4 linked regions of the Rhinolophus ferrumequinum genome follow. The protein of the gene in region 4 interacts with the protein of the main gene of each other region in a pairwise test. Links are inferred from orthologs where the notes say so. Each region holds a gene or a part of one and is shown on either strand. Other genes may lie near its edges. The genes, in order: SETD5, CTSZ, DMRT3 and MTUS2.

The links.
Region 1: the proteins of MTUS2 (region 4) and SETD5 interact in binary tests that used the Homo sapiens proteins (3 or more experiments, as listed by UniProt). The link is inferred for Rhinolophus ferrumequinum from reciprocal best matches to the Homo sapiens genes MTUS2 and SETD5.
Region 2: the proteins of MTUS2 (region 4) and CTSZ interact in binary tests that used the Homo sapiens proteins (3 or more experiments, as listed by UniProt). The two-hybrid records come from large-scale screens. The link is inferred for Rhinolophus ferrumequinum from reciprocal best matches to the Homo sapiens genes MTUS2 and CTSZ.
Region 3: the proteins of MTUS2 (region 4) and DMRT3 interact in binary tests that used the Homo sapiens proteins (3 or more experiments, as listed by UniProt). The two-hybrid records come from large-scale screens. The link is inferred for Rhinolophus ferrumequinum from reciprocal best matches to the Homo sapiens genes MTUS2 and DMRT3.

Annotation. Positions count from the first base shown.
Region 1 is NC_046300.1:44,353,195-44,360,956, reverse strand, and holds the start of SETD5 (histone-lysine N-methyltransferase SETD5), read left to right. Parts: upstream 1-4,748; 5' UTR 4,749-4,815; coding exon of another isoform or gene 4,816-4,886; intron 4,887-5,701; 5' UTR 5,702-5,926; intron 5,927-7,762.
Region 2 is NC_046306.1:3,336,442-3,344,355, forward strand, and holds the start of CTSZ (cathepsin Z), read left to right. Parts: upstream 1-4,897; 5' UTR 4,898-5,044; coding exon 5,045-5,184; intron 5,185-5,590; coding exon 5,591-5,754; intron 5,755-7,914. UniProt on the Homo sapiens protein: Exhibits carboxy-monopeptidase as well as carboxy-dipeptidase activity. Capable of producing kinin potentiating peptides.
Region 3 is NC_046295.1:34,674,826-34,682,214, reverse strand, and holds the start of DMRT3 (doublesex- and mab-3-related transcription factor 3), read left to right. Parts: upstream 1-4,381; 5' UTR 4,382-4,729; coding exon 4,730-5,183; intron 5,184-7,389. UniProt on the Homo sapiens protein: Probable transcription factor that plays a role in configuring the spinal circuits controlling stride in vertebrates.
Region 4 is NC_046287.1:100,557,671-100,564,859, reverse strand, and holds the start of MTUS2 (microtubule-associated tumor suppressor candidate 2), read right to left. Parts: upstream 3,018-7,189; 5' UTR 2,711-3,017; intron 1-2,710. UniProt on the Homo sapiens protein: Binds microtubules. Together with MAPRE1 may target the microtubule depolymerase KIF2C to the plus-end of microtubules. May regulate the dynamics of microtubules at their growing distal tip.

The sequences.
Region 1 (7,762 bases), on a different chromosome or scaffold from region 4:
ACAGCCTCAGTACAAAGACTGTCTGAAGCATATGAGGCCTGTTCTCTTTCTGAAGCGGCACTCCTCTTCCTGCCAGTCCTCTTCACAGGATTACTGAAGCAGACTTGTTCTGGATTTCTTTCATTGGATTGGCTGTTTATGGGACTCTTGTCTCCCAGCTGCTTCCGGCTCACCTGGCTGATGCAATTTCTTTTTCTGAAATCTCTGTTGGAATTGTTCTTAAAACACTTTTTGTGTGTCTTCTGAGAGTGACCAGACAAATCACACAGGTCTTGTGCTTTCAGCAAGTCATATAGAAAAGAGACTGTCAGAATGACAAATATAGAGACTATTGACCATTTCTGAACCTAATTAAAAAGACAAATAATTATAAACTTTCTGACATGTTTTATTTAATACCCTTTTCCCAAGAAACTATGTAAATGGTGACTTCTCAAAAGAGGACTCAGTAGTGGGAGACAGGCTGGTTCTGCCTCTGAATCCAAGAACGTACCATTTAGTGTTCCTGTGGATTCTAATGGATTCTTTTGAATATAGTTAAATTGAAATTCTGATGCATTCATTTTTAACCCCCTACTACTCATTTCTCTTTTTCCTCTGTTGTTTCTTATATTCTTTCTTATTTGTTGTCCTTGGTTTATTTCGTTTTTTTTCTTTACTGTAATCTTCATACCTTTTATTTTTATAATTCCTAGTACCATGTTTCCCGAAAACACAACCTAGCCAGACAATCAGCTCTAATGCGTCTTTGGAAGCAAAGATTAATGTAAGACATATATTATATATAGTAAAATAAGACCAGGTCTTATATAAATTTTTGCTCCAAAAGATGCATTAGAGCTGATTGTCCGGCTAGGTCTTATTTTCGGGGAAACACAGTATGCTCTTTTAGAATCGTTTCTAAAGCACAGGTTATTTTCGGTGCTGCGAGTTAGCTCAGTTGGTTCGAGCGCATTGTTACTAATTACTAACATCAAGGTTGCTGGTTTGATCCCTGCAGGAGCCATTTTGAGCTGCACCCTCCTAAAAAAAAAGTTTATTTTCCAATTTTTAATAAATTGGAAATCCATAAAAGTATCAACATAAAGTGCATTTCCTCTCTACTCTTTGGTATGTGAAATATCAGAAGCAGCTCCTTTCACACATACGATACATTAACATAGCAGGTGTTAATTAAATTTTACTTTTTTCCCCTAAAAGTCCTGGGTCATCACCTATTTTCCTTTCCTTTTTGGAGGGTAGAAAGTTAATTAAGGCCTTATTTTTCCACATGTTTCTGTTATGGAGTTGACCACAAATAGAAATGACTTCCTTTTGTCACTCTTTCTACAGTAGGACAAGAGGCTATAGGTGGAATGGAGTGTCGGGTAAGAAAGGAGTAATGTAGACTTATACGTTAATAGGTGACGGGTAGGTAAGTCCTTGTCTGACTAGAGAATAAATTTGACATTTGATTAAAGAAAAGCCTCTGGATTTGGGAAGCGGTCAGTGGAGAAGAGAAGCACCCCTAAGAGAGATAAAAAGACGAAATCCCTTTGGAAATGGGAGAGAATTCTAATTTGAAGGAAAGAGGATTATCCAGTGACAAAGTATTTACCACTTCTTAAGTCAAATAAAGATAATTTTCCTCTCCACCATTTCTTTATTTAGGTCTGGCTTTACAGGAAAATGGGATGTAAAGGTTAAAGGACAAAAATATAGTACTAGATGGAACATAAGATGTTAAACAAGACAGTATACAGAGATGAAACAAAATCAGCATTAAAAATATTTCTGTAGAATTCTTTGTGTGCATCAATGTTACTTCTTTCTGTACTAATTTGTGTCTCAACTTTTTCTAGGTCTTCAGAGCTACTGACATAATTTTTGGGACTTCGTATTCAGAGGTCTATAAAAAGGTGACTGAGCCAAATTCTTTTAATTTGTTTTAATTCTTTTAATTTGTTTTTGTATTTTGATGAATGTTAAAATCATATGTTGAGATGATGATCAAAATTCAGCAAATATTTCTCAAACACCCTCTTTGTACTAGGCACTGTTCTGGATGTTGGAACTATGGCAGAAGATAAAACAAAAATAACCTGTCCTTATAGAGTTTGTATTCTGTTAGGAAGAGACAGACAAATTAACAAGTAAAAGATATCTTGAAATTGTTCCACCTAGAGACAGAGTTAATTCTTATCAATCTCTCTAGGACATATCTCCAAACTATAGCAGATGAATAACTGCTACAACTACTAAGCTTAGTAAACTATAGTAGGAATCTATCGTCTTGGCTTATAAAACTAGAGTAATTTTAAGAAAATATTGCGTATAGACGATCTGTTAAAAGTTCTTTAGTTAACATTTTAATAGCTGCATTTTGCACAGCTTATTTAGGGAAGGAACTATTCTCAGAGTTATATAAGAAATTTGGTTTTGTTATCATTTAAGAAGCTCCAATATTGTGAAAATATTATTTAGAACAAGATGGTGAAGCTTATTATAATGATTGCTTTCATTAGAGGAGTGGAAGGGTAAAACGAGATAAAAGGAAAATGGAGAAATTCATGAGAGAAATTTATAGTTGGCTACTTAATGTTTCTCAGAATTGTTTCTCAACTATCCAGATTAGCAAGGGCGGAATTGCAGTAAGGAATGTCTTCAGCATTTATTCGTTTATTAAGGAGATACTGAAGTAATTGTTTCGTCTTTTCCTTTTGGTATATCTTTTTAAAATTACTCAGAAAAATAACAACTGTCAGCTTAGGTTTATAAATTGACTTCTATCTGGAAGCCTACATTGTTTTATGGTCATATAATAGTATAGCAGTGACAAAGGATTTTTAATGGTGCTAAGTAACTTTTTTTTGGTCCTTTACTGAAAATATATAGTACATGATTCAGATTCCTGTATTAATCAGGGAAGGTATGATCATTATCACACTGTCTGATTATCAAGCCAGGCAGTTTTAGGGCTTTTTTTATTTTTTATTTTTAATTCAAATTATACGGTGATACTAAAAGTAGAGACAGAGTTGTAACCAACAATCCCCAATATTTAATTTTATGCCTTTTGGGCTTATTTGATAAGTGTTCTACTGTCATTTGTAGATTTTGTTTCAGTTTCCCAGAGACGTTGAGGATATACTGCTTAAATCTCTATTTGGACATATTGTTAGGGTCAAAGAAAACATTGTATGTAAGATGGGCGCAAAGGCAGAAAGTTACATTAATCACTTCTCTTTCGTGACCTGTGAGGAAGCAATGGATAGGAAGATTTGCCCTTTTCATTTTGGTCCCAAGTCTAGCAATACGTCACCTTGAGTTGAATAGGAACAGTTGTATTGCCTCACCCATATTTGGAGAGGTCCTTTGGTGAGATCAAGCTCTTTCAAAGTATAGGTTCCAGGGAAGACTGCTCAGTGTATAGCTATTCAAGCATTCTAAAATGATGGCACAAAGAAGTAATATTATCTTTATGCATTCTTAAAAATCTTGGCCTGATTCACTGTTCATAATTGATTTTCTTATCCACATTAATTTGCTTTGTGTATCAAAATAAGATTCAAACATCTCAGATCGTCTACCATTTAAAATTTGCATTAATTCCCTAGATTGGCTCAATTAATATCTTACACTTTTCATTCCATTTAATATTTTTAGTATAATCTCTTGACTTTTCTAGTGTCTTATTTCTTATGAATCAGTATATGAATCATGACTCTTTGTAGTCTTTTTTTTGCAGTCTTTATTAAGCTGAGTCTTTAACATTCACATTGACTTTCTTCCGTATGAAATGCTTATTTCATCTTTTCAATGTGTTTTTTTAACAATATACAACAACTAATGTAAAACTATACGAAGTATACGGTTTTCCCTTTTCACCATACCTCCAAAATCTCTTAATCTACTTTTGCTTTTTTACACTTCAGTAGTTGCTGAGTCTTTCTGTTCCCAAATTCCAGTCTGTATATGGCCACCAATTCAAGATATCCTCACTGCTTTTCCATAGAAAGTTGTCTAATCTTTATCATGAAACCATATTCTTTGTGGTTTATGTTTTTATTCATACCTAGCAGTGGATATTACCTCGCAAATGTAGTTAAGATGATCTTCTCCCAAAATTATAAAGTAAAAATGGTTTTTATAAAGGAACAGTGTTCTGTGATAAAAGAAGGCAATAGGAAATAGCTGTATCCAATCAAAAAGAAACAAATCGATCTCATATTTAATTTGGAAGAAATAGCATTATTGGCTCTGGTAAACTGCATTTATTTGTGGCGGGGGGGAGTTTAAATGAAAGATCTTGAATTGTTAAAAAAGAAATTAAATTGTGATAATTCTATTAACCATCCTATATCTTAAAAATTGTTAGTTGTTAGGTCCTAGGCTGCCAGGAAATTTTGTTTGATGAACGATTGTAGAATAGGGGAAACGTACTTATTAGTGAGCTGGGCAGACTGTTACTTTCCCTTTATCAGAAAAGAAAAAAATTAAAATAAAAATGAAAAGTAAGCAGAACTTTTGCTACCTTACTTTGTGGAACATTAATATAGTACATAGTAAACATGGGATAATGTGTAGATCCCTTGCTGTACTTGTTTTATATTTATCCCTTGTAAAAGCTTTATTCAAAAAAATGAAAAACCATTTAGTAGTATTTAGGATGAATTTAAAGAACTGTCTGGTTACTAGATATTTTCCTTTTCTGTGCCAGGATTCCTCATGTCCATAACATGTTGGTTGAGGCTCTGCAGCTCACCCCCACTCTCAGAGTGGCCAGTCTCCATTAATTGGACCCCGTGATTTCCACTCTCTGCTGTGTTGGACGTCATGAGCATTGCAATCCCTCTGGGAGTCACCACACCAGATACATCCTATTCAGATATGGCTGCTGGATCAGAGTAAGTGATAACTTCCTAGGTCATAGGTGAATTACCAGTTTGTGTGGAGACAACTTTCTTATGGGCATCTCATGATAAATATACAATATTTTCTAAACCCAAACCTAGCCCACTGTAAATGACATTAGACCTTTCCCTTTCTCCCTTAGAAGCTGGAGGGAAAAAAGAGAGGAAAAGAATTTGGGGGTGGGGGCAGGATTTCTGAGTAAATCATTAATAGAATTAAATTTGCAAAGTAGTGATTGCATTTTTGTTTGTATTAATGGGTGGGGAAGATTGAAATAAAATAGGTGTCACTACCTGCTGTAGTAGAGTTAATGATTTTTCTGATGGACGGAGATGACGAGAAGTTCTCTCCAACTGATTTTCCTTGAAGGCCTCTTCCTATGTACTTCTCATTGTTGTAGAGTAAAGGGGCTGTAACTGAATATGGGCCGGTTACTTAGATGTTCTGACATTTTGGGGTAGAAAATGTGGAAAGCAGTGTCATCTGTTTTTTATAATATTCATTGCCTAGAAAGAGGACCTTCAAAATCAGTGGCACCAAACTTTTTTTTCAGCTAAGAGCAGCTTTAGGAATTCAGAGTTTGTCGAAAAGCCCAATCCCTAAAATAGACTCTCAATTCTTGAAGAATTTAAGTGCCAAATGGCAATGAAGGTAGGCCTTCATTATAAAACTTTATATATTATTCACAGTTTTAAAAAATTTAGCCTTTTGTATCCCTTCTCTTTTAAGTTGTCCGAGATTCCCCCTGCTCACAGATTCCCCCTCTTGTCCTTTTACCTCCCTTGTACCCAATCTTCCTTGCTTACAGAAAGGAAGTGGAAGCCCCCTACCTTTCAAGACGAAGTGGCACTACACCAGGATGTGAAAGTCCAGCGAAAGAGACCCAAGGGGCCTAGGGGGCAGCACACCCCCAGAAGCCAAGTCTATTCCAGGCAGTACCAGGGATTAGGGTCTGGGCTGGAAAAATCCTGGTGTTTTGAATATGTTCAGGTCCAGTTCAGACTCTTGATCCCACAGCCACTTCTTGAGTGAGGTGGGTGTTGCTCTAATTCCCCTGTTTCTCTTGCCATTTTCACAGTCCCCGGGGATTCTTCCCCCTTCAGCAAAGCAAAGCAACTGTACCAGAACTCTGGGTTCAACTGCGTCCCTGATTAATAGTGGTTTTCTTCCTTAAAACGGAGAATATTATGATAGTAAAGAGCATGTATATTTCTTCACAAAGCCACTTGTTTACTGGCTTCCTTAAAGAGGAAGACTTAAAATGAAACTACCCTAAGAAGCAGTATATTATATTCTGGGGTGGTCTAGAATTTAAAGCAATTTTTGGCCTTATTCCCATATAAAAACAAAGACGGAGGGTGGGGGGGTGGGGAAGGGTGGATTGTGTTCCAGGGTTTTTTCCTCTTTTGTTTTTATTTCTTTGCATGCCAAAGAGATTCAGTTATGGCCAATAGCTGAGGTTTACAATTTTATAACTATTTTCCAAATAAAGTACTTAAAAATCTTCCTACATTAGTCGGTGACTAGTTGTGTAGTGTTAATAGATTTTTATGAGGTCAGCCACTAGCCTCCTATATGAATTAACTAACAAACTATTTAGGTAAATAGCATTAACATATTTGAGAGAAATTTCAACAGAGATTAAATCAGTGAGTTTGGAATAAATAGATAAGAAAAAGACCTAAAGCGACTATTCTTAAAACTGATATTTTTGATAGAGTACAGAGATGACTACCCATATTTATAGCTGGGGGTCCAGAAGTAATTGCAGAAAGAAAAAAATACTTCTGGCCTAAAACTTTGACTGCAAAGTTTCTATTTCCTGAAGCATTTTCATTCATAATTTCCAGTAGATACTGTGGTTATAACTAATTACAGTTGTTCATTCGGTATTTCTGCAAAGCAAGAAAACGTCAACAATTATGTACCATTCTGTTAAATTATTGATGATATTTGTTAATGCTTCACCATGCATATTCTGTTCTGGGCACTGACACGAAGGTTAAACCTGGTATGAAGGGCAACATACTCAACCAAGTAAAAGACCTAGACTTTACCTCATGGGATTTTAAAGCTGATGGCAACATTATACGTTATGCATTTTTTATATATTTGTAGGAAAACCTCTAGGTATAACAATAGGAGCAAAAATTTTTCTGAATTTGCAATCCTGCTGTAAATAAAGTTCAGATTTCTCAAGAGGTAGCATTATAGCAGCAAGATTGCCTATTGTACTTTGAAGACCATTGATGGAGTATATCTCTTGTACGCATGCGTTCTTGTGTCTGTGCCAATCTGTCATAGCAGTTCAAACGTAGCGGGGGTAAGGGGGAGGCTATAATTACATTTGCATAAAATAGTTGGCTAATAAAGAGATGCAATCCTAACACTTAAAGTTTTTAATCCATTTAAAATATAGTTAAGAGCTGATACACATGTCAAGGAATATCCTAAGAAATCCTATAGTTTACCTGTCAACATGTAACTATGTATTGAATCAATAACCAGTATGGAAATTGCAAAGGTTCCTTATCAAAAGACAAGAGCTTAAATTTTAGTGTGTGGCACGCATAGCAATATATTAAATGCTGTACTTGACATAGAAGGTGTTGTGCAGATGGCCTTTAACCTCCACAATATAGATTTTGTTCCTTAGACTTGCACGTGAAGTGCGTATGTTCATATTCACCCAGTTTGGAGATGAGTGAGATACAACAAACATAACTGCATCTCCATGGCCATCTTTTATTTCATGCCACTGTCTTTTTTCCTATCCAAGGGGAAAAAAAGACATTGCTAATAAACAGCTGTCATGTTTCACCCCATGTGTTCAGTGGTACAAAGTCTCTTATATAAAATACGTACAGCT
Region 2 (7,914 bases), on a different chromosome or scaffold from region 4:
AAGTAATTGTAAGAGAAAAGGAACTGGGAGAACGTCTCCATGTTTCCTTACGCCAGGCTGCCAGGCTTCACGGAGGAGCCTCAGACTTTCTCCCCCGGCCCAAGCGTGGTATCGTACCCACACCACGCTGGCCTTGCTGGGCTGCTGTCCCTCCCTTTCCAGCCTCTGAGCCCAGATGTGGAAATGCTGTGCCATCCCTTCCGGTACACCTAGGATCAGAGTCCTGGGCTGTGGCACCTCTGCTGTGCAGGAGGAAACACGCTCCCCCCTGAACCACTGTGAACCTCCCCCAGCCTCTCCATCACCTAAGGTGGGCAGCTCCTGAGAAGCAGCGTCCTGCGGCAAAAACAGAGATAAGCATGATAGGACCAGGCCCCTGGAGCTGAAATCAAACAAAAGTGGACACTTCTTCTAGCCCAGTGTTTGTCCAAGAAATCTCTATTGTATGCATCTCAGAAATCCATCCGTTTGTGCACAAATATTGGCTGAGTGCTCTGCTCTTTGGGGGGCTCGCGGGACCTCGGGGAAGGGGGGAACATGGGCCCTGCGCTCACTTCGGGGACACAGAGACACAGCAGTACTTTACCCTTTCCACTGGCCATTACCAAGTTCTGTGCCACCTCATTCAACCACCTTGGAGCTGGGTGATGATGCTTCTCTCCATTTTGCAGAGTAAGCAGAGGCTCAGAGAGGAAATCGGCCTGTTCAAGGCTAACACAGCAGAACCGGGCACCGGCCACAGGTCCTCGGACCCCTGCATCGGGGGGTCAGCTCGAGGCGTCGGAAGGCAGGCCAGCGAGATGCCTCCAGCTGGGCATCTGAGGAGCCTGGACAGCTATTTTCACCTTCCTCCTCACCACTGGCCCGTGCCTGGGTCCTGCCAGCCCTGCAGCCCAGATAGGTGGCCCCTTGTGTCTGCTGCCACCATCTCTCCAGCAGCACCCTAACCCGTCACCACCAGCGCTCCCATCTGCAACGACAATAGCTTCTAACTGACCGCCATGCTTGCCTCCTTCCATTTCATCTTCCCCCGGCCACCAGAGGGATCTTAACAAACATAAATCAGATCTCGCCTGCCGCCCTTCAGGAAACTAGCTGCCACTAGGGTGAAACCACCCCTCTTACCACAGCTGATGTGTGGTTGAGATCCTTGATGGGAAAACACTAGTGAGAGGAGTGGGAAGAGAGCCGAAGAGGACAGAGGTGCAGGCCTACCCTGAAGATGGAGAGAAGAAAAAGAGGCGGGCGGGAATGAGGCAGGAGTCCAGCCTTGATTGGCAGAGCCAGCAGCTGTGCTCCCTGCAGCCTGGAGGTCTGAGAGGTGCGTTCAGGGCCGCCTTCAAGCTCTCCAGGGACCTCACCCTGCCTACCTCTCGCCAGCCTCTCTGCTGCCACTCTCCCCAGCAGCTCCTTCCAGCTGATCATACCTACCAAGCGTGTTTGCATTTCAAGGACTTTACGTACTCTTCCTTCTGCTTAAGAAATCCAGCATTTTCCATGGCTCTGTCCTCATCATTTAATTCCAGCTCACTGGAGAGCTAAGAGAAGTGTCCCAGGCCGAACTCAACTCCCCAGAGCCCCTGCCAGTCTCTAAACCCCGCCCACCTCCGCCGAATTGATCCATCTCCAAGCCCTTTTCTACTTCCAGAGTCTGTTCCTTTATCTACATGCCCCTCACCAAGGTGTAAGCTCCCTGCAGGCAGGGACTTCCCACTGCTGTACCCCAGGGATGGGACACTAGTTTGGCACATACTAGGTGCTCAACACATGTCTGCTGACGGCCCGACTGTGGAGAGCCAAGCAAGTTGATCAGGCGAATGACCAAGACCACTGAGAGAGTTCCTGGGCCAGCTCCCAGGTGGGCCGTATGTGACATGCCGGGCCACGGCTGGCACGTTCTGAGGGCGCGGCTGACGGGCCACCCTCACCAATGTGACCCCAGGGAGCCATGTTCCCTCCCACGCAAGTGTGTGCAGCCAGGAGAGGGTGTGGTGACAATGGCGCCTGGGGACAGCAGCCAGGTTGACAGCGCTCCTGACCCGCCCCAACGCAGGCCTTTATTGTAAAGGCCTCTGGGAGTCAGCTGGCGCATCCGACCCAGAGGGCACGTGGTCCTGCTAGAGGAGCCCCTAGAGCTGGCAAGGAAGCCAGACTTGCCTCCCGAGCACTGTCAGCCTCCATCAAAACAAACGCTGGTTTCCAGGATGTGGCTAAACTCAGGAATGTGGGATAATAGGAAATGTCTGCAGCTTGCCGGTGGGAGCCAGACTACATGGCATGAAGGAACAGGGGAAGAGGACTTTGAGGCAATTCCACAGTAAACAAAAACTCAACCTGTATTTTCTCCTCCAGGTTGGGCAAATGGGCCAGCCCTGGCCTAACTAAGTTATATGTGCTCTTTATCGAGACGAAGGGGAAATCAACCTCATTTTAAAAAGTGAATAGGTTTTTGTGTCGTGGCCTTGGGTCGTGTATGTGCCAGGAGACCGTATGGGGGGGGAGGGGTGGCTAGATTCAAACCTGCCACCTACAAGCCTTATGCTGAGTACAGGTCTCTTGACCTCTCTGGAACCTCAGTCTTCCCACCTGTAAAATGGGGTGATAACATCACCTCACTGGGTTTTGCCACCATCAAATGAAGGCAGATGTTTCCCAGCCTGGAGACTATTCTAGAATGTCATTGTCTTTCCTTGTAAGCACCACTGGGGAGCAGGTACGACTCGGTTACATCCAGGAAGAAAATCCCAGGGCATAAAGCAGGTCGGCTTCTAGGAAGAGGACTTCACTCCGAGTCTCAAGTACTTATGAAATGTAACCCAGATGGGACAGTGGGGGCACACACAGCCAAGGAGAGCACTGCTAGCGCCAAGCTCAGGCAAGCAGGCCTCAGAGGGCAGCCAGCCGCGGGGCCCTGTCCTGCTCCTCCTCCATTCCAGACCACAGGAGCTGAGTCACAAATGTCCTCACAGGCACCAAGGGACACAGTTCCCAGGTTTGCAAAGTCCCGGCCGGAAGCTACCACTCAGGTGCATTGGTTTTGAGGAGAGATGGGTAGGCGGGGTGGCCGGTCCGGCAGGTTCTTTGGTGTGTTCTTCCTCTTCCTCTGCTGCAGCTGCCTTTTAGGTTTATCTGTGTGCCCTCCAGAGAGCTCCTGGGGCCAAACGCCCTTTGCTAATAGCAGTGCACCCACCTGCATGCTCTGACTGCATTCTGTGGCCAAAATTTGGGCTGGGTTGGTTGGTACCTGCCCGCCTGTCAGAGTGGTCAGCCAGGGGGACATGCATCCATACACTGACCACAGCCTAGTTCAGTTGTGAAGAAAGGGCCCTGGGTCTGCTTGGCTTCGTGTGTTTGACCCATCGGGGGCTGAAGAGAGAGTGTGTCACATCAGTCCTCACTTGTTTCTTGCCTTGAAAGTTGTGGTTTCAAATGTCTAGCCTCCTCCTGCCTGATTTTCCCATCAGCTTGAGTATGAGTTGCTTCTATGTCGGGGAAAGCCCAGGGCCACACAACTTGTCAACTCCAGATGCCCTATCCATTAGCAGCCTGAAAGTGTCACCATCCCTCCCTCCACTACCCTGCAGTCCACAGGGCTGAATGGCCTTCCCACGCCCTCCCTCACCCTTGCCCAAGACCCTGGCCTCTGGAGGCCAGGTGATCAGGCAGGCCTGTATGCCCTGTAGCAAATGAACTGTGCAGCCCAGCCTTACACCGAGCAAGGGGCCCTCTGAGCACGGGGCCCTGTGTGACTGCAGCGCACCTGACGAACTGACTGGCGCCAAGGGTTACCAGCAGCTGACTTTCCAAGAAGAGAAAAGGCCCTTCCAAGGATGGAGCCCGTGACTGCACTTTACCTCAGTGATAGCTGTTCAGGAACAAGGACTAAAACTTCTGGGCTGATGAAGCAATGCCCTAGGCCGCAGAGGCCTCGCCTGCTCTGACAGGTGTCCTGGCCCTCCAGGGATCCCTTGGCCATCTCAGCGCTTCCAGAGGTGGCCACAGAACTTGCTGCAAGTCAAGGAGACAGTCATTTTGACTTCTGATTGCCAGCTGGGCACGGGCTGAGGCGAGTACCCTTTCACGGTAGAAGGGGAAGAGCAGGGCAAGCTCACGCCTGGGGGGACCCCACAACAAAATGCCTGGACCCTTTGCTTACAAGACAAGGAAGCCTGTTGTGTCGCGTGAGGAGCAGAGGGAGGGAAGGAATCTTCAGTTATGAAACAAGGCCGCGGTCCCACTTCTGCTTTTGGTTCCCCATTTGACTCTGACGAATTTTGTTCGCAGGAAACCTTTTCAAGCATCTTTGGAAAGCAGAACCAACGATTTCTTGGCCAAGTGAAGTTTTCTTTGGGGGCATTTGCGGCCTTCCTCCTCCGTGAAGGGTGAACCTCTCTCCAGAGGGCCGGGGCCCTTGGGAAGCAGGGTTCAGAGAAATCAGGCCAGGGCCTAAATTCTGGGAGGACAGTGGCTTCCTTGCAGGACTTGGGGAGACCCCTGTCCCATGGGGGGGGCGGCCTGGGCCCAGGTCGTATGTGGGGACAGGCAGCACCGCACAGGGCCCAGGATCCCAAGAATCAAAGGCTGGGGAGCCATTCAGACCCTGCAGTTCCCACGCCAGGCCCCCCCCCCACCCCCCCCCCGGGCCCTCCAAGGTCTGACAACGACGTGCTCGGTCAAGCCACCAAGCCACGTGGCTGGTGGCCGGTGGCGGGTCAGGTTTGGGGTCTGGCGCCAAGCCTGACTCGTGACCCCGAGTTCAGGCCCCTCCCCCTGCCCCGCGGGAGGAGGTGGCTCGGCCCTCAGCTAGCTCGGGGCAGCCTGTGCCCCGGCGGCCGGGGCGGGGCGGGGTCACCGGGGGCAGGAGCGGGCGCCCCGCCCCGGGGGTGTGTCCGGGCACCCGCGCCACCACCTTAAGGGCCGGGCGGGGCCGGGGCCAGAGAGCCAGGACCGGGGCACCGGCGGAGGGGCACCCAGCGCGGAATCCGGAGCGGGATTCGAATCAGGACCCGGAGCGGGATCCAGAGCGGAACTGGGCGCGGGGGCCATGGCGTCGTCCGGGCCGGCGGGGCCGCTGCTGCTGCTCGTGCTGCTGGCTGGCACCGCGCGGGCCAGCCTCCACTTCCGCCCGGGCCAGGGCTGCTACCGGCCCCTGCGCGGGGACCAGCTGTCCAATCTGGGACGCAGGTCGGCGCCGGCTTGGGGAGCTTCTCGCGTGCTCCTGCCTTTTGGGGACCCTGCCGCCTCCTTGGAGTGCCAGGAATCTAGGCGCCCCGCCTCCTTTGACCTTTGAGGGTCAAATTTAGCACCTTTGTTTTGGAGGTCACTCTTGGCTTTCATATCCAGGGGAGCCCTGGTATTTGCAAAGCTGGACAAACCCCACTTTCCTGGCATTTGGAATAGTGCTTGGGGAGGAGTAAGGTTGCTGCATTTGGGGGTGCCCTGCCTCCAGAAGGGCTGGGGTCTTCTGCTGTGAGATGGACTCACTCCCACTCCCTCTCATTTAGGGGAGGAGCCGGTGTCGGGGACCCCTGTCTGTGCACGCGGCCCAGCAGCCCCAGTGCTGATTCTGTGGGTGGTGGTCTCTTTCCAGAACATATCCCCGGCCTCATGAGTACCTGTCCCCATCGGATCTGCCCAAGAGCTGGGACTGGCGCAACGTGGATGGGGTCAACTATGCCAGTGTCACCAGGAACCAACACATCCCTCAGTACTGCGGCTCCTGCTGGGCCCACGGCAGCACCAGTGCCATGGCGGGTAGGTGGGGGACCCGCTGCCCCCTTGACTGGGCCAGGAAGGCCTGTCCAGGCTGCTTCCTTGTCAGCACAGGAGGGCCGAAGCACAAGAGCCTGTGATTCCGTGCCAGAGCTCAGCCTGGGATGGGGAGGTGTGTGACCCTCAGACCTGGGGGAGCTGACCTGTGCCGCGTGTTGCCCCAGACCATCAAGGCAGGGCGAAGTGGCATAAGCTGGGTCGTGTCTCCACTATGCAGGGTAGGCCCCTGGGGCCCGTCGGTGGCAGGCAACACTAGGGCTGGAGCCCAGTGGCTCCCGGGTTCCTCTCCCAAAGTTTGTGAACCCGGCCATTTGGGATCAAACCAGAAATGCGAACTCCCCGAACTCCCTGCCAGTGTTTGGGATGGAAGTGAAACTGCCTTGCAGCCGCAGTTAATATTTGAGGTGAACGCCTGTCTTGCCCTGGGAGCGTTAAATAAGGTTGGCCCCTTCCCTCGTCTGGGCCTTAGCTGTCTGACCAGTGAGGAAGGAGAGGCAGCTGAGGCCCGTACCACTTGGAAGGCTGCGGGGCCTGGCCTTGGGAGAGAAGGGAGAAGGACAGACTTCACACCAGTGGAGCCTTCCTTCAGCCCCAGGCCCACCTGGCAGCCTGCGGGAGGGGCTCGGGCTTCTCCAGTGGCAGCCCTGAGTTCCAGGAACCTGCAGTCACACTGGAAGTCCCTTGGAGAAGGGACTCCCACTGGGAAGCTGGCCCCTGAGGGCTGGGGGCACCGTCTCCTCCCTCGCTGGGCACGCCTGCTGCAGGAGGGGTATCTGGGGGGTTCTCCCTGGTGGCCTTGCCCCATCTCCTTTTGACGACAGATGAGGAGACTCCTGAGGGTTGGAGTATAAGGGGGCAGGTCGGCTGAAGCCCCATTTGAAGGTACAGGAGCCCTCAAGGGAGCTGGAGATGGACAGGGCCAGAAGCTGAACGACTGGGAGAGATGGATGTGGGCAGCCTTAAGGCAGAGAGTCAGAGCAAAGGCCGGGCAGGCTGGCAGGCGGGAATGGCGCTCTGGTTGAGGAAGTGAAAGAGGGCCTTTGTGGCAGAGCCTAAGTGTGGGGGAGGGGACAGGGGAGAGCTGAAAAGGTCACAAGGGGCCCTGCCCCCAGGGAAGCCTCAGGAACTTAGAGAGGGAGTCATGTGCCAAGATTTGTGTTTGTAAGACTACAGGACTGGGAGGGGATGGCTAGAGGTGGTCACTTTTCAGATGGGTCAACCTGCCACAATTCTGGAGGGGAATTTCTATCCTGCGCAGAGAGACTGCGTCTCTCTTTCTCCTCAACCCTCTAACATTTTCCCCAGTAGCAGGGCCCTTCTTCCTCTTTCACTGAGAAAATATGTGTAGAAGCCCCCAGAAGGGGATTTCCACGGGCCCTGGCCCAGCTGCCACCTAACTCAGCTGATCCCCGCCTGTCCCCAGGCACCCAGCACCTGAGCCCCTTGCTGAGGCCCCTCCTCCTTGGGCTTGGACTGGACCAGGACTGTGGGCAAGGGCTTGACCCCACCCCGCCTCCAGCCACCACCCCACTGCTGCGCTCCCTGAAGAGGCGTCTGCAGCCCATGCTTCCTCTTCTCCATCCTTGAACCCACTCCGGCCTGACTTCCACCCCCCACTCCACAGGCATCGTGCTTGCCAAGGTCATCAGCAAGAGGCCGCCATGCTGGCAGGTCCAGTGGTCAGCCCCCAGGCCTCTCCGTCCTGGGCTGTGCTTGCTCAATCCTCCTTGTAACGCTTTCCTTGACTTTCTGCATAACCCGATCTCCTTCCTCCTCTTCGAGGCTCCTCAGCCTCCCAGCTTCACTAGTGAAGGTCGGGTTCCCCAGGACTGAGTCCTTGGCTGCAACCAGACCCTTCACCCGAACTCCAGCTTGAGACCCAGCTGCCCCCTCTCCCTCTCGCTTGGACACCGGACTCCTCGAACCTCATATGCTCAGATCTCAACAATTCCTCCTTCCCACCACCACCCTCACCCCTGTCAACGTAAAAATATCCAAACCTGGGGAGAATTTTTCTATGAGTTTATTTGAGCCCAAACTGACAACAATTGCCGGGGAGCAAGATCCCAAATGCTGTTTTATGCATTGGGAATGAAGGAGGGGAACGCGAGAAGAGTGCCTGCGGGTAGAGGAAGGGAGGCG
Region 3 (7,389 bases), on a different chromosome or scaffold from region 4:
ATCAAATATATGGTGATGGAAGGAGAACTGACTCTGGGTTGTGAACATACAACATGATATATAAATGGTGTATTATAGAATTATACACCTGAAACCTATGTAACTTGACTAACAATTGTCACCCCAATAAACTTTAATTTTAAAAGAACGGTTTTACAGCCAGTGCTGCTCTCATTTTACCTTGGAAGGTAGGAGTTTTTTCTTTTCCTTTACACAGAAGGCAAACAGGGTCTGCAGGCCGCCACTCCGCTCCTCTTCCAAAATGGTGTGGGGACCTGACCCACGCCCTCCTGCTACCTGCGGGGACGAGCTTGTTCTTTTGCACATGGCCACTGCCTCCAAATCCCAGATCTGAGGGGGGAATCCGCAGGTCGGCCGAAAGGCGGAGGCCGCGGGGGCATCTGGGGCTCGTGGCCAGAATGGGGAGTGAGCGACTGGGTGGGGGTCTTCAGGGGATGCGGACCTGGACCCCAGCCCAGTGGGGAGCGCTCCGAAGCGCTTTTCCATTCCCTCCCTTCGAAAGCGTGGAGTTAAGGTCGCCGCTCAGTGGGCCCAATGCAGGAGCGACATCCCTACCCCACCCCCAAAAGTTGGGAGCGGGCACAGCCTGTGTTCGGGCTGGGTCTGATGAATCTGCACCAATGGGAGCGCTTTCTCGGGCGTGAACCACTGGCTTCGAAAGTTCGAGAATCTGAAGGACTGAGAAGCAGCATCTGCTGAGGCTGCACAGGGCCGACGGGGTTGCAGCCCGTTCCCCGCCCTTGTTTGCTCCAAAAGACCTAGGCCTCTGGAGATCCTCGGGCTGCCCACTGCCAAAATGGTATGAAGACATGACCTCCCAGGACCTTATTTCAGCTCAGCCGCGTCCCCCGGGACCGCCAAACGCAGGTTCAGGCGTCCCGGCCTCACGTGGCCTCTGCGCCGCGCCCCAGAGAGCGGCTTCAGGGATGCATGGGGGTTGTGGGTGCGCATGAATTAATTGAGGGAGAACAAGGGCATTATTGTCACCTCAAGAAATCGATTGCTAGTTGCCCCACCGCATCACTAGACATTTGTTCCCCGCTTTTCAATTTGAAGCCAAAGAGCGATGCCTAGAGGCACGGACAGCGTGAGAGCTGAGAAATTCGTAGGCCGGGAGACAGGGCTGGTTTTCCTGCATTCAAAGGACTTTCTGCACGCCCCTGGTTTCCAGCGTCACCGTGGTCGCGATTAAAACGACAAAATAGGAACTCTGACCTCCCCCTCCATGAGATTTCAGCAAAGCCGAAAATTGCCTGATTTATTATACAGCCGGGACAATGTGAAACTGTCTTTTTGTTTCTCGAGGCGAGAAGCCGCTACTACTAGGACTCCCAGATTTGGAGTCAGAACAAGCTCCATTTCTCCGCAAGGATACCTGCATTCCGCGAGCTTTTAGATATACACACACCATGGGATTGAGTGCCGGCCAAGAGAAAGAGAACCACATATGCACATTATCTTTCAGCCTTTCGCTGTTAATACCTGTCACAGTTCTACCCAGTTAATTGTGGTTAGAAAGCACACATGCACATACCCCACCCTGAGCAGAACACGAGTGGGTCCAGTCTAGTGAGGTTACATTTATTTGTGATCCTTCCCCCTCCCTTTCCAAGGTCTTTGATGATTTTTCCCATAAGTGTAAGCTGCCGGGACTTAGTAGAAGCAGGCCGCTCCTTCTAAATGTGATTCGGACCATATGCTTTCCACATTCATCCCCGCTTCAGCTTTTCTTCTCTGCACTAACTGCTAACACGTTATAGTCACCTTGAAATTTCCTCTGCTATTTTCCAATTAAAGGCTTAATAGCCCTGGAAACGGAGTTCATGTGGTGAAGTTTACCATAGCCCCTTGTTCTAAAAGGCTTTCTGCTGGGATCCCATTATGTGCTTGAATAAACCCTTTCTGCAAACAGAAATGGGACTCGGGATTGTCAGGTGTTGGGTTACAATAGACTTTGAGGCAGGGGACATTTTACCAACATAAATACAAACCTGTCCCTATAGGGGGATGTTGTCAAATACTGGGATATGGAAAACATTCCCATCAAATATGAGAAGAGGATTATTGCTCTATATGAAATGAGTATTTCGATCTCGGACCCCGATGTGCACTGGAGTGAAACGGTGCCCCAGGACCAAAAAATGCCAGACTGTTTGAGTAGCAAAGGGATAGGGTGGCTAGGTGACCGAGGGAGGAAAGGGGGTCGTCTTGCTAGTGGGAATACCACCGCCCTCCAAACCCGGGGCAGAGCTTTTCTGCTTTTCTTTTAAAAAAAAAAATGCTTTACTCCCATGATTTTTATACTCCTGGTTTCTCTGACCATTTGGACAAAATCAGGAGAAATGTGGCTTTCAAACAAATCCATGGTCCTCGCGTTCCCAAGAGACCCGGAAGTTTCAGCGCGAACGTTCCCAGATTCAATGTCATTCTAGGCCCTGTCTCTGTCACGTGAAGCGACTCGCTGCCAACTCCCCACTTCTCGGCCTCTGTCCCACCGGGCTGCGGGTGACCTCTGCCTCCAGTCCCGAGAGTTTATGAAGTTCCTTCCGGTTGTAGTGTTTTTGGGCTTCCTTTCCTAGCGAAGACTGGGAGGAGAGGAGGGATTGAGGTGATGGTGTTGGGGGTGGGTAGGAAGGGGAAAAAGACTGAGGGGTCCGTGCCACCACGGTTTTGAGGGGAGGCCTCTCAGGGTTAGCATTCGTGCAAGTGTACCTGTTCATCTCCACCAGAGCAGCATCCAGCGATTCCCAACCCCCGGACAGCTCTGAACCCGGGGCCGGGGCGGCTAAGGGCTTCAGGGGAAACGCACACACCTGCCCTTTTTATCCCTCTTCCCCTCCCAGAATCACCCTTCTAGGAGGAGGGTTGGCTGCTAGAATGCCTGGAGGTGCTTTACTTGAATTCACAACAAACACAGAAGGACGTTTTCAGGTTGCTTGTTTGCTTCAAGGCAGAGAAAAGCGACCTCCCTGAGGTGACAAGGTCCGCTATACGGCCGAAAGGTTGGCTATTGCAGCGGAGTCAACTACGCTCTCGTTTCGTATTCGATTCGCCCAGAAATGAGCTCAGTGTCTGCTCTCAAGAGCATGCGGACCCAGCTCCGGGACTGGCATCTCCCCCTCTTCGCAGTGAGCAGTTGTATTGCCCTGCGCCGCTGTACCCTCCAGTGTTTTGTTTTTGTTTTCTTGGATTGAGAGGTGGGGTGGAGGTTAGTCGTCCCTGTGCGTTTGCGGCGCTAGTCTGCATTAGGCCAAACCGGTACTCTATGAAATTAGAAACGCGCAAATAACAGTTTAAACAAAGTTTGATGCTGTCATCTTATGCAAGCCCCCCCCCAAAGACAATGCGGTGACAGAAGAATGACTCCATCCCTTATCTATTACTAAGTGCCTGAGTCCGTGGAGATTTGAATTGGGTGACACGAGACATCGGTTTGATGGTTCAGTGGCTGTTGGACAGAGGGGAGATCATAGCCAGTAACTTTTGGGGCGCTATCGTCGCTTCCTCGTCCACTCTAAAAATTTAGACCCAGCACTTAACGCAAATCCTCCACACCAGCGCTTCCCCCTCCTTTCAAGACTGAGACTGTTTTTTTTTTTTTTTACTAAAACATGGGGAGGAGAATAAAGAGATTAAACTCAGAGCGGAAGAGGGAGGACTGTGCCTGCAAACTGGGTTGTCATTCTTGGGCTAGCAGGTTTTCAAAAACATTCATTTTCTTCGGCAGGAGTAAGATTTTTTTTTTTAATGTTGCAAAAGGAAATCAAGAAAGAGCCCAAATTTCCTGAACCAATTCCACTACTCTACTCCCAGTGGCCTCAGGGCCTGACTCGCCCCAACTTAAAACCCTCTGGACTCATGCCGGGTCCCGAGTACATCCGCAACGCTGCGGAAGGCTTCGGTTCTCGCGGAGCCGCGTTTCTGCGGCCAAGTGCTGGGATAAAAGCAGCCTCGGGCTCGGTGCCGCCAAATCAGGCCTGGTGGGAGGAGAAGGGATCGAAGGGGAGCCGGCAGCTCACTCGCCTATAGGCACCCCCACCCTCACCCCGCTGACCCTCCCCTTCTCTGCCTGGAGTGCATCACTGCGTCCCAGAGCGCTGCAGTCCCTCCCGCCAGGGGCAGGGGAAGCGCAGAGAGCTTGGAGGAGGGGGCCGTGAGCGCCCCCGCGAGAGCTGCCTGGCTGCAGGTGGCAAGGTGATGTGTAGGCACTCGAGGGGCGCAAGGAAGGAGGAAAGCGTGGGGTGGAGTGGGGAGTGCAAGGAGTCCGGGACCCCGGGGGTGGGGGTGACACTGGGAGGGAGGAGCAGTGGGGGGAGGGCGGTGGAGGAGGTGCTGGGCCCGGGCAGCGAGCGCGGGAGCTGCAGACGAGCTGGCTCAGACCTTAACCAGAGTTCTCGCCGGCTCCTTGTAGCCGCCGGAGCGCCTCGGCGAGGGAGGACGTGCGGGCTAAAGCCTCCGCTGGAAGAGACGCGACCCGCGTGGGACTGGCGGAGTACCAGCGGGAGGCTGAGGCTGCGAACGCCACGGAAGCCATAAAGACGGCTGCTGCACCACCGGCCGTCCCGGAACGCACGCGGCCTCCAGGGCTGCGTGACCAAGGACCGCGCCCCGGGGAGGCCTCCCGGGAGCGGGCTTCCCAGTCCCGCAGTTCAGCGTCCCGTGGCCCGCTCGCGCCGCCAGCCCGCCAGCTCTTCCGGGAGCCTGGGGCATGAACGGCTACGGCTCCCCCTATCTGTACATGGGCGGCCCGGTGTCGCAGCCGCCGCGGGCGCCCCTGCAACGCACGCCCAAGTGCGCGCGCTGCCGCAACCACGGTGTGCTGTCTTGGCTGAAGGGCCACAAGCGCTACTGCCGCTTCAAGGACTGCACCTGTGAGAAGTGCATCCTCATCATCGAGCGTCAGCGAGTCATGGCGGCGCAGGTGGCGCTGCGCCGGCAGCAGGCCAACGAGAGCCTGGAGAGTCTCATCCCCGACTCTCTGCGCGCCCTGCCGGGACCCCCGCCGTCGGGGGACGCCGCCGCCGCCCCGCAGCAGCCCCAGACCTCGCAGCCATCTCAGCCGCCGCCGCCGCGCCCCGCCGCCGAGTTGGCTGCCGCCGCCGCGCTACGCTGGGCCGCCGAGCCCCAGCCCGGGGCGCTGCAGGCACCGCTCGCCAAGCCAGGTAAGAGCATCTGCGGGGCGGGAGCCGGGCCCGGCGTTAGGGGGAAAACACTTCGGAGCTCCTGCGGCGGCTCTGCCTGGGAGGCCCGGAGGCAAGTTTGAGGAAGTGGGCCGGGCCGGGCCTTCCTCCCCAAACCCCGCCAAGCTGGTTCTTACTCTCCGTGCAGAAGCCGGCCTTCAGCCTGGATCCAGCAGGTAGAACCAGGCGCCCGCAGGAAAGATTCCGTGGGCAAGCCAAACGGCAGGACTGTGCGACTGGCCTGCCAACTGTCACCACTAGTTTAAAGGGGAACGTGGCCGTTTCAGTGGGAAAGTAAAGAGGTCGAAACAAGACCATATTAAAAATCCACGCGGGCATACACACAACGGTGCGGCAGGATTTTCCTGGCTACGAACTTCTAGGGAACCTTGCATTTGGAGATAGGGACAGGTAGATGCAGGGACAGAGCCAAGGCCCAAGACTTGGCTGACTGCTAGCTGGGCGTGCTTCTCGGCCCTGGGGGAACTGGAGCGAACCCGAAGCCTGCGTAGTAGTGCGCACTGTGGCCTTCAGCCTCTTGTAATTTGTTGAAAGAAGGCTCATTTAGAAGCAATGCTAAGAAGGGCCAGAAAGACTTCTAAACTTATAGCGAGGACCCAGAATCTAGAGAGCCCAGAGTCAACTCCTTTTGCAAAACTGCTCAGGTCCTTTAACACCTTTACTGGGTCCGCCCTCAGTTGTCTCTGTGGTTTAAAGAAACAAACAACACTTGATCTATAGCGAGGAAGGCCACCTCTGGCTAGCCCTTTCCCGATTCTAGGTAAGCCTGGGCCTCCAGCTGCTAAACCTCAGATTTGGAGCAAAGGCTCTCTGGTCCTCTTGCCTCAACTCTCCTCTTCTCCGCTGCCCTGCTTTGTAGAGGGTGGACTGCCCTGAGCCCTGAAGGTGGGCAGATTCCCTCACCCCCAACTCCTGCTGCCATCCCTTTCCCTCCTTCAGGCCTCTGGAGTCTGCAGACCCCAGTTGAGTCTTTCTCCTCAGGAATCTCTAGCTTGTCCTGCCCAGCCCAAGTGCTCCTTTAATTTTAGGCTCTTGGAATTCAATGGACATGTGTTTGGTGTTTCCCTTTCATTGTGGCAAATGTACAAAAGAAAAAAGCCCATCTTCTCAGGGAGGGGGTTAAAGGGTATGCTGGAAGTCTGAGAGCGAAAGCCCTGGAAGGCCCAGAGCCCTGTATGTAGAACTGTGGTAGAGCTTCTGTCTATATCTCCCACTCTCACACACGTCCAAGGAGATTGTGGGGGTCTGCGAATGCTTCTGGCTTCTGGAGAGAAGCTTTCAGGAACAGTGAACTGCTGTGTGGAGCTGGGGAAGTGCAGACTCACTGGTTTAGTGGTGATTTGATAGGCAGCTTGGCAGGCACAGTTTTGCTGCCCTGTTGCTCAGTTATACTTTCCAGGCCAGAAGCTCTTAGAACGTCTTATGTGAAGAGCAGAACTGGGTATTGTAAGGACAGAAGAGAATTTGCTGAACATGGATGTTGTGGATATTTAATCCAATATAGGATATAAGCATTTCTCTGGTAATGTCCCCCACCCCAGTTGTCTCTTTTCTGTCAGTCTGATCTCTTCATATTTGTAGATTAGCCACAGAGGAATAGGAGGAGGGAAGAGAAAGAAGGCCTAGTTTACTTTTCTTCTTTAGGTTAGAGAGAGTTTTGTCTCAGTTCTAGAAGCTGATCCCTGCTAGTAATTTTTCTTAACCTTTCTGTTTCCAGTTTCCCTATCTCCATTTCCTCAGCACTAGAGCAGGGATCTGAATTTGTCAGTGGTAGCATTTTGCAGTGGCCACCTGCCCAGCAGCACTCCTGTAATAGGGCTTTGGATTTTGGGATCCTAGTCTTAAGAGAGGATTCCTTCCACATCCTGTGCTCTTCAAACCATTCTTCTGGGTAGCCAAAATTCATGGCTTCTAAAGAGTCACAAAACCAAAAACAATCCTGGGAGGGGGTAGTGAGGGCAGGAAGAAAGGTGGAGCTGCAGCTGCAGCAGCAGGAGGATACAGCGTTTGGGAGAATGAACGAGGGAGACTGATTTCACCTGGACAAATCAGACCTGATGCTCTCTCTTTTACTCTAAGTATTCAGGGATAGATAGCCGGATCCCTCCAAATTGAAAAGAAGTAATTGCAAAGGAGAATAGGATTTACTGTGTTTCCCCGAAAATAA
Region 4 (7,189 bases):
CTCATACAAACTGCTATTAAGAACAAGTTGATTGTTCATCCTAGTCCTTCCCAACCCGCATCTGTTTCTTGCAAGATATTTTCCAGGCCTGAGTTTGCTCACTGTTTAAAATTCCTATTAGAAACAGATGCTAAGGAGGTTACAAAAAGATCTCCCATAGAGCTGATGCTATCTGTTCCTGTTAACTTTGTATTAATGAAGCATGTTTGGGTAATTTTCTCCCCCTTCCCCTGGCAGTCCACCTCTGAGATGTGGAAGGGGTTTAACCCACTTTCCTCCCTTCCCTGTTCTGCCTCCAGCTCACACTCAGATCAAGAGAGTCCCTATTTGTGTGAGATCCCAGGCACAGCTGCTTCTCCAGGTAACCACCTGATCTCAGGAGCTCTACACAGCCTTAGGTTATAGCAATTTGCATTTTCTCAGCAGGTCAACTACGGTACTGGCCAGATTTCTTATTTTGTCTTTTCCTAAAACTACAGGCATTAAAATAAGGAAAAGCATTTTTGTAAGTTAACATTTGAACATAATTTGGAGACAGGGCAGATTTAGGGTGCACGGGGCCTTACATTTAGATAATGGGAGGTGGGAGTGGAGTGGGGAAAAGTGTCCTCATTTAATAAGAATCCAAAATTATCAATATACACATGGTATGACCATGTGAGCATATTGCTAGTGGCCCTCCCAGGGGCTCGGAAGAAGCCTAAGGGGGGGGCCTGTGGCTTACGATTCATTAGCTTCCCAGCCAATCCACCTCTGCTGGGAGATATAAAAGACTAGAGAGGTTTATACCGCAGCACTCAAATCTGTAGAAACCTGCTAAGCATAACAGTCTTATGTTACATCAGTCCTCTAGATACTATTCTTATCTCTCTTTCACAAACCTCCACCCGCTGCTCCCTCTAATTTGATGGCAGCAATTCATTATAAAAGTGCGTGGGCTGGGCTGGGCTTTAACAATCCAGTACTGTGCCAATTATGCAATAGCCAAAACAGCCAGTTTAATGGAGTACGAAAAGCAAAGTCGGAGTTCTTACATAAGCCTTCATACACCATCCATAAGATCTGCTCCCAGACTGGAGTCTCTGGAATTACATAAGGTAGATGGAAAACACTGATTCAGCAGCCAGGTTTATTTCTGACCTTAAAAACAATCAAAGCTTTTTGCATTTAATTTACTAGTCTCTATTAACATACGTTTTTAATTTGATGGAGAAAACAATCTTTAATAAGACTTGCCATCTTTTCATATAAACATAAAGGGACAGCCTGACACTGCTACTCAACTTCCCTGTCACCTGTGCACAAAGAAATGTCCCACTTAGGATGCCCCTACATATTCAACACGAAATTACGGGTCTCTGATAAACATCAACTACTCTTTGCCAGTTTAAAAAAAAAAAAAAAAATCAAGAAAGATACTTAGACAAAAATACAAAAGTGTACATGCTATAATTCTTCAACACATGTCCTTTCCAATACCATTTTTCTCTTCCCCATATTTTTAACCACTTATTTATTTATTTTTTTGTTTTACTTACTTTAAACCACTGTAGCCACACCTGGGGCTACAAAGTGACAAATTTTAAAACACAATGCTAGCCAATGGGTCTCACCCCTGGCTACACATGACAACAACCAACAGAGCTTTTAACATTACAAATGCCACAGCATCACCCAAAACCAATTAGAATGAAATACTGGGGTAGGGCGCAAAAGGGGGTGCCTGACATCCGTATATCTGATGCTTTCTACTTTTGTCTTCTTACCTGAAAATAACCATAAATATGATAGCAGGTTTGGGGGTAGGAGATCTTTAGTAACTGGCAGCTCATAATTACTAAGTTTCCATCAGCTATAAAAGTAAACTCGTGCTATAGATTAAAAGCTATAAAGGATATCTGTGGGATCCTTTTTTATTACTATTGATAAGTAGTCAAAAATTTTTCACCAAGTTTCTTAATGGCCTTTACAAAACCTACCTTATTTTTTAATGTTTAACAATTCTACCTAATGAGTTCAAAGACAGGGCCCTATACTATCTTAAAGGGTGTCTCAAGCTAAGATCATGCTTATCTTCAAGTAAAGTTTTGGTTTAAAGTAGAAATGATGGTTCTCACCTATCTTCACCCTCCCTTCTTAGATGCTCTGATAATCCCATTTATAACTTTACCAATTAGCAAATATGTTTTTCAAGCCCTTACATAACAGAGAGTACAGGCGCCTTTGGTATCCTGCCAAGAGTACTTCTTGCCGTGTTTGTATTTAAAATAGAATGGTAGTAACATCGCTTGTGTGCCTGAAATTCCTTCTGTGCACAGGCTCCGAATGAGAAAATGGATGTAGCAAACCGCTTCGCTGCTTTACCATTATAAAGCTCAAAGGAAAGAATACAGACTAAATTAAGACGAAGACACAGAATTACCCAAAGCTGGGGGCAGGGAAGGGGGCTCGGTTTAACTAACCTACCATCCCCTCCAAGACCGAGGATGTTTAACCTGGCAGCACGCGAAGGTGCCAAACGAGCTGCAACACCTCCGCCCCAGCAGGGAATGTGGCAGGCCAGAATAAGTGCCACGATGACAGAAAAGCCAAATAAACGCTGCGCTGCCCGCCCCGGCTGCGATCACTCCCCAACGCCGGCACCTGTCTTCCCGCGGGTTCCAGAAGGCAGGACCAGAGCCCAGCCCTGAGTGCTGAAGGATGCGCTCACCTGGGTGGGAAAGAGCCAAGAAAGGTGTCCAAGAAGCCACCACTGCTTTAATGGACTCTCATCCCGGACCGGTTCCGACACGCTCCCTCCTCTTCTTCCTCCTCCAGCTCGAGTTTTCTATTTAACGACAGGTCGGGACTCCACTGACCGGCAAAGGATGTCCTCAAAGGGGGGCGACAAACTTGCCAAGAGAAGCCGGCAGACGTGGCGCAGGTGGAGAGCAAGGGACGCCCCCGCACCTGGGGCCGGCTCGTCAACGCTGTCCCCACGGTCGCGCAGGCCCCGCCCAGGCCGCCGCCCGCTCCGAGCGCCGGGGCAGCGGGGGACGCGCACGGGGGCCGTCGACGGGGCGCCGGGGCGCTGCCCTCCCGGCCGCTGCAGCGCTGTCCCTGCGGCCGCCTCCGACGGACAAAGGGAAGCCGCGGAGCGGCGGCGGCGAAGCCCGGGCTCCGGAGCGCACCGCGCAGCCCGCGCAGCTCGTGAGGTGCGGGCCGCGGTGACAGCCGCCGGGCGGCGAGCGGGCCCCCGCGGGAGGGCGGCGGGGACGGCAGCGGCGCGCACCCTCGCGGCCGCCGGGAGACGCACACGGCGGGGCCCCGGACGCCTCCTCCCGGCCCCGCGGTCCGCAGCCCCGCCGCCGGGAGCCGTAGCGCCCTCTGCCGGCCACGCGGCCGCCGTACGCGCGCCATCTGCTCCATCTCCCCGCGGGCTCGTGGGCGCCCAGCGACATCGCGGTCCCCGAGCGAACCCGCGACTTCAGGGGAAGCAAGGGGTAAGACAGGAGGCGGGGGCTACAGGGCAGGGAGCTGCGCACAGTGGGATCTGCTGTTACCCTCTTGGGAAGGAAGAGGGAGCATCTTCGAATTAGGAGCAGCAGGATGAGTTAGGATTCAGCAGTGGGAAGAACTTGGAGGGCGGGAGGATTCCCGGTGCTCAAGGAGCCCAGAGTTGATCTCTGGAAATGTCTCCGGAAAAGGCAGGCGTTTCTTTCTAGAACCAGGTTTATGTCTGTGTTTAACAAGCACCAACTGTGCCTAACTCTGTTCGAGAGGTTCTAGAGAACCTTGACACCTCTGATGAATAAATATATTAATGACTTCCCGAGGACCCTTCCAGTCCTGCGTGAAATGCTCCCCGCTGCCCTAAGCAGTGCTCCTAGAAGGTTTGGAAAGGCAGGCGAGGTCAGAGAGCTTCAGCTTCCTCTGGTTCCCACAGCAGGGGAATAGACATCTACCATTATGAAAAGGAAATGCTGGGGCTGGTCTTTGCACTATTTAGGTGTTTTTTTAAGGTGGGGTCATTTTTCCAAACTACCATGTTAAGCAATATTTTATACCAGTTAATTTTATTAACAAGCTGGACTATTTGGTGAAATCATGAAGCAGCACCTTTTTTTTCCACACCACTGTCTTTTTAAATTATTCTATCAGATCTCCCTTCTCCTCTAGCAGAATCTAGGGCAGATTTCATAGCTTTTCCTGTCACTTTCAGGTGTTAATCAGCAGTCTGATTCTCCGGTATTAAAAAGTCCAGTCCAATTCAAATCAAAGCGTCAGTCCCATTCCACTTAAGCCTTCCCCAGACAGCTCCCACACCCACCAGCTCCCATCCTGACCCAAGCTCAGAGCCTGCCTGGGGAAGAGAAACGTCACTTTTTCCTTTCTTGTTCTACATCCTCCCAGCTAGCCCTGTGAAGACTGATGCTTCCAGGGTGGCAGGGTGAGACTTGTCCCCTGCACCAGGCCCTGGTCCTCGCTTCCAAGTCCGCTTTCTCCTCCAGTAGTCCCTTCACACAGACCCTCTGCAAGGTCACCATTGTGGCAGATCCCACTATGTTCCACCATGTCTGTACAGGTCACTGTGACAGCAGAATACCGTCCTCATTCCCTGGTCACAGGCAGCTCTGACCAGCCTCTCTCCTTGAAGCTTCTCGTGTAGGAGTCAGGCAGCCATCTCTGGACTCATGCATGTCCCCAAACCCAGGTGATACATGCCAAGCAGTACACGTTCTTTTGCATGAAGTAGCTGTTATACTCTGCTCTCCCTCACAGCACCCTATAATTCTCACTGCCCGCCTTCTCCCTGACCTCTCTCCCCTTTCCTTCAATTTGGGCTGACGGCGGCAGAACCCTTACTCAGCATATCATACAAAGGTGGGCCAATGCCGCTATTTGAAATGTGGAGACACCTCTTTCTGTGGCAGCCACGGAGGCATGCCACTCAAATCTCAAGAGTATAAGTGACAGCCTCCAGCTGGCACACCTTTGGATCCAGCATGGCGCTCACACCAAGGTCACACATCCTGCCATCTGTTCCCAGCCCATGGCTAAGTCTGATGGGAGAGCTGGAGCTGGGCTGTTTCTGCCTGGCGCAGGACCCCTCTACTGGGCGGTGTTTGTTCCAGAACTCCCCATCACCCGAGCCCTGCAGTCTGGAGCTCTGTCTATCCAGCCTCCCTCCCATCCTTTCACAGATGTCAGCTCCGTATCATAGTTGGAAAGCAATCCTCACCCACACGCCAACCTCCTTCTCCCTCCTCCACTACCCCATACAGGTGTTTTCTCAACATTTCTTCTGCACATCTAACCCTTCTTGGCATCTGCCTCTCAAAGGTCTCCAACTGGCACAGTCATCTAATGTTCCCAGCAGGTATTCTAAGACAAGTCCCATTTTAACACTTGGTTATGCTTGTATTTAGAAACTGTGAAAATAAGAGTAGAATGTTCTTTTGTGGGGACAATGAAAAAACGATCAGTATAGCCGCCCACCCACCCAAGCGGAAGCTGAATAGGAGTTGGATGCAGAGAGGTTCTTATTGTAGGTGAGCCCAGGAAGCAGTAGTGATGAAATTGAAAGATTGAGACAGGGAAGCACGAAAAGTCACTACAAAGATGTGTTATCAAGGTCACTGCTATTCACAACAGGTGCTCAGTACAGCAGGATCTCTGAGAAGCTTAGAAAGTCTTCCCAGAATTGTCGTTTCAAAGACAGGGGCTGAGCAGTGACCATCTGGCTCCTATTCTCTGTGTATTGGAGCTGCCTTTGGGGCTTTAACTCCCACAAAATTCCAGTCACCCAGAGTTTTAGAAAAGACCCTGCAGCATCCTTTTATTGGGGGGGGGAGAGATTCAGGGGCATCATCAGCTTGAGTTGCAGCTCGCAGGAGGTCCAAGAGCAGCCAAGGAGATGTGGTACAGGACATCAAAAGTGTCTGCTACAGCAGGTATCACAGATTCCCACTGACTTCCCAGACTGAGGGGCACACAGGTAGTCAAAGGCATCTGCCCTGTGTAATTCCAAGTTGCTGAAATGTCCGTGGAAAAAGACAGAGGAAGAAAGGGTAGGGCAGTGTTTGCAAGTCATGATGACACTTGGCAGGGGACTGGTGTCTTAGTTCATTCGGGCTGCTGTAACGAAAATACCACAGACTGGGTGGCTTATAAACAACAGACATTTATTTCTCACAGTTCTGGAGGCTGGAAGTCTAAGGTCAAGATGCTGACAGATTTGGTGTCTGGTAAGAGCCAGCTTTCTAGACAGCCGTCCTTTCACTGTAACCTCAGGATGGACAGCGTAAGGGAGTTCTCTGGGGTCTCTTTCATAAGGGCACTAATCCATACATGGGGGTTCTACCCTCATGACCTACTCACCTCCCAAAGGCCCCGCCTCCTAATACTGTCACATTGGGGGGTAGGTTTCAACACATTCTGGGGGGGCACAAACATTCAGATGATAGCAACGGGTTTACCACACCTCAGGATGTTACTAGGGGTCAGAAACTGTGGGAAGAAGGAGGCCAGGATCAGACAGAGGGAGTAACTAGACTGTAATTCAAGTCCGACAAAGCCTCAGCCAGACCAGGGGAGCTCTGGAGCACATACAGACTGGTGTGCCCGAGGCTGTTCACAGCAGCTTGCAGGCACCAATTATTCAATGTCTTGGAATTTTGTCAGCCAGTAGTTAAACACAGCCATCATCGAAGATTAAATTATATAAACTTATAATTTTATGTATATTATATTAAAAACAAAGTTAACTCTTCATCACTCATTATTCTGCTATGTGTATAAGGTCTGACAATTAAGTTCGAGGACTTGTTGCAACGATGTTGCTAACTTTTTTGATATCAGAGGGGTTATTCATTAGGAATTTGTACCCACTGGACAGTTAACCAAGTTTACTATTAGTGAAAAGTGCTGAAAAGGCTGCATGAAAATGTTAGACGAAAACTACCTGAATTTTTCACCAACAAATTCATGGCTCTTGCATCACGACAATGCACCAGCTCACATGGCACTGTCTGTGAGGGAGTTTTTAGCCAGTAAACAAATAACTGTATTGGAACATGCTTCCTACTCACCTGATCTGGCCCCCAGTGACTTCTTTCTTTACCCAAAGATAAAGGAAATATTGAAAGGAAGACATTTGGATGACATTCAGGACATCAAGGGTAATAAATATGATGACAGCTCTGATGGC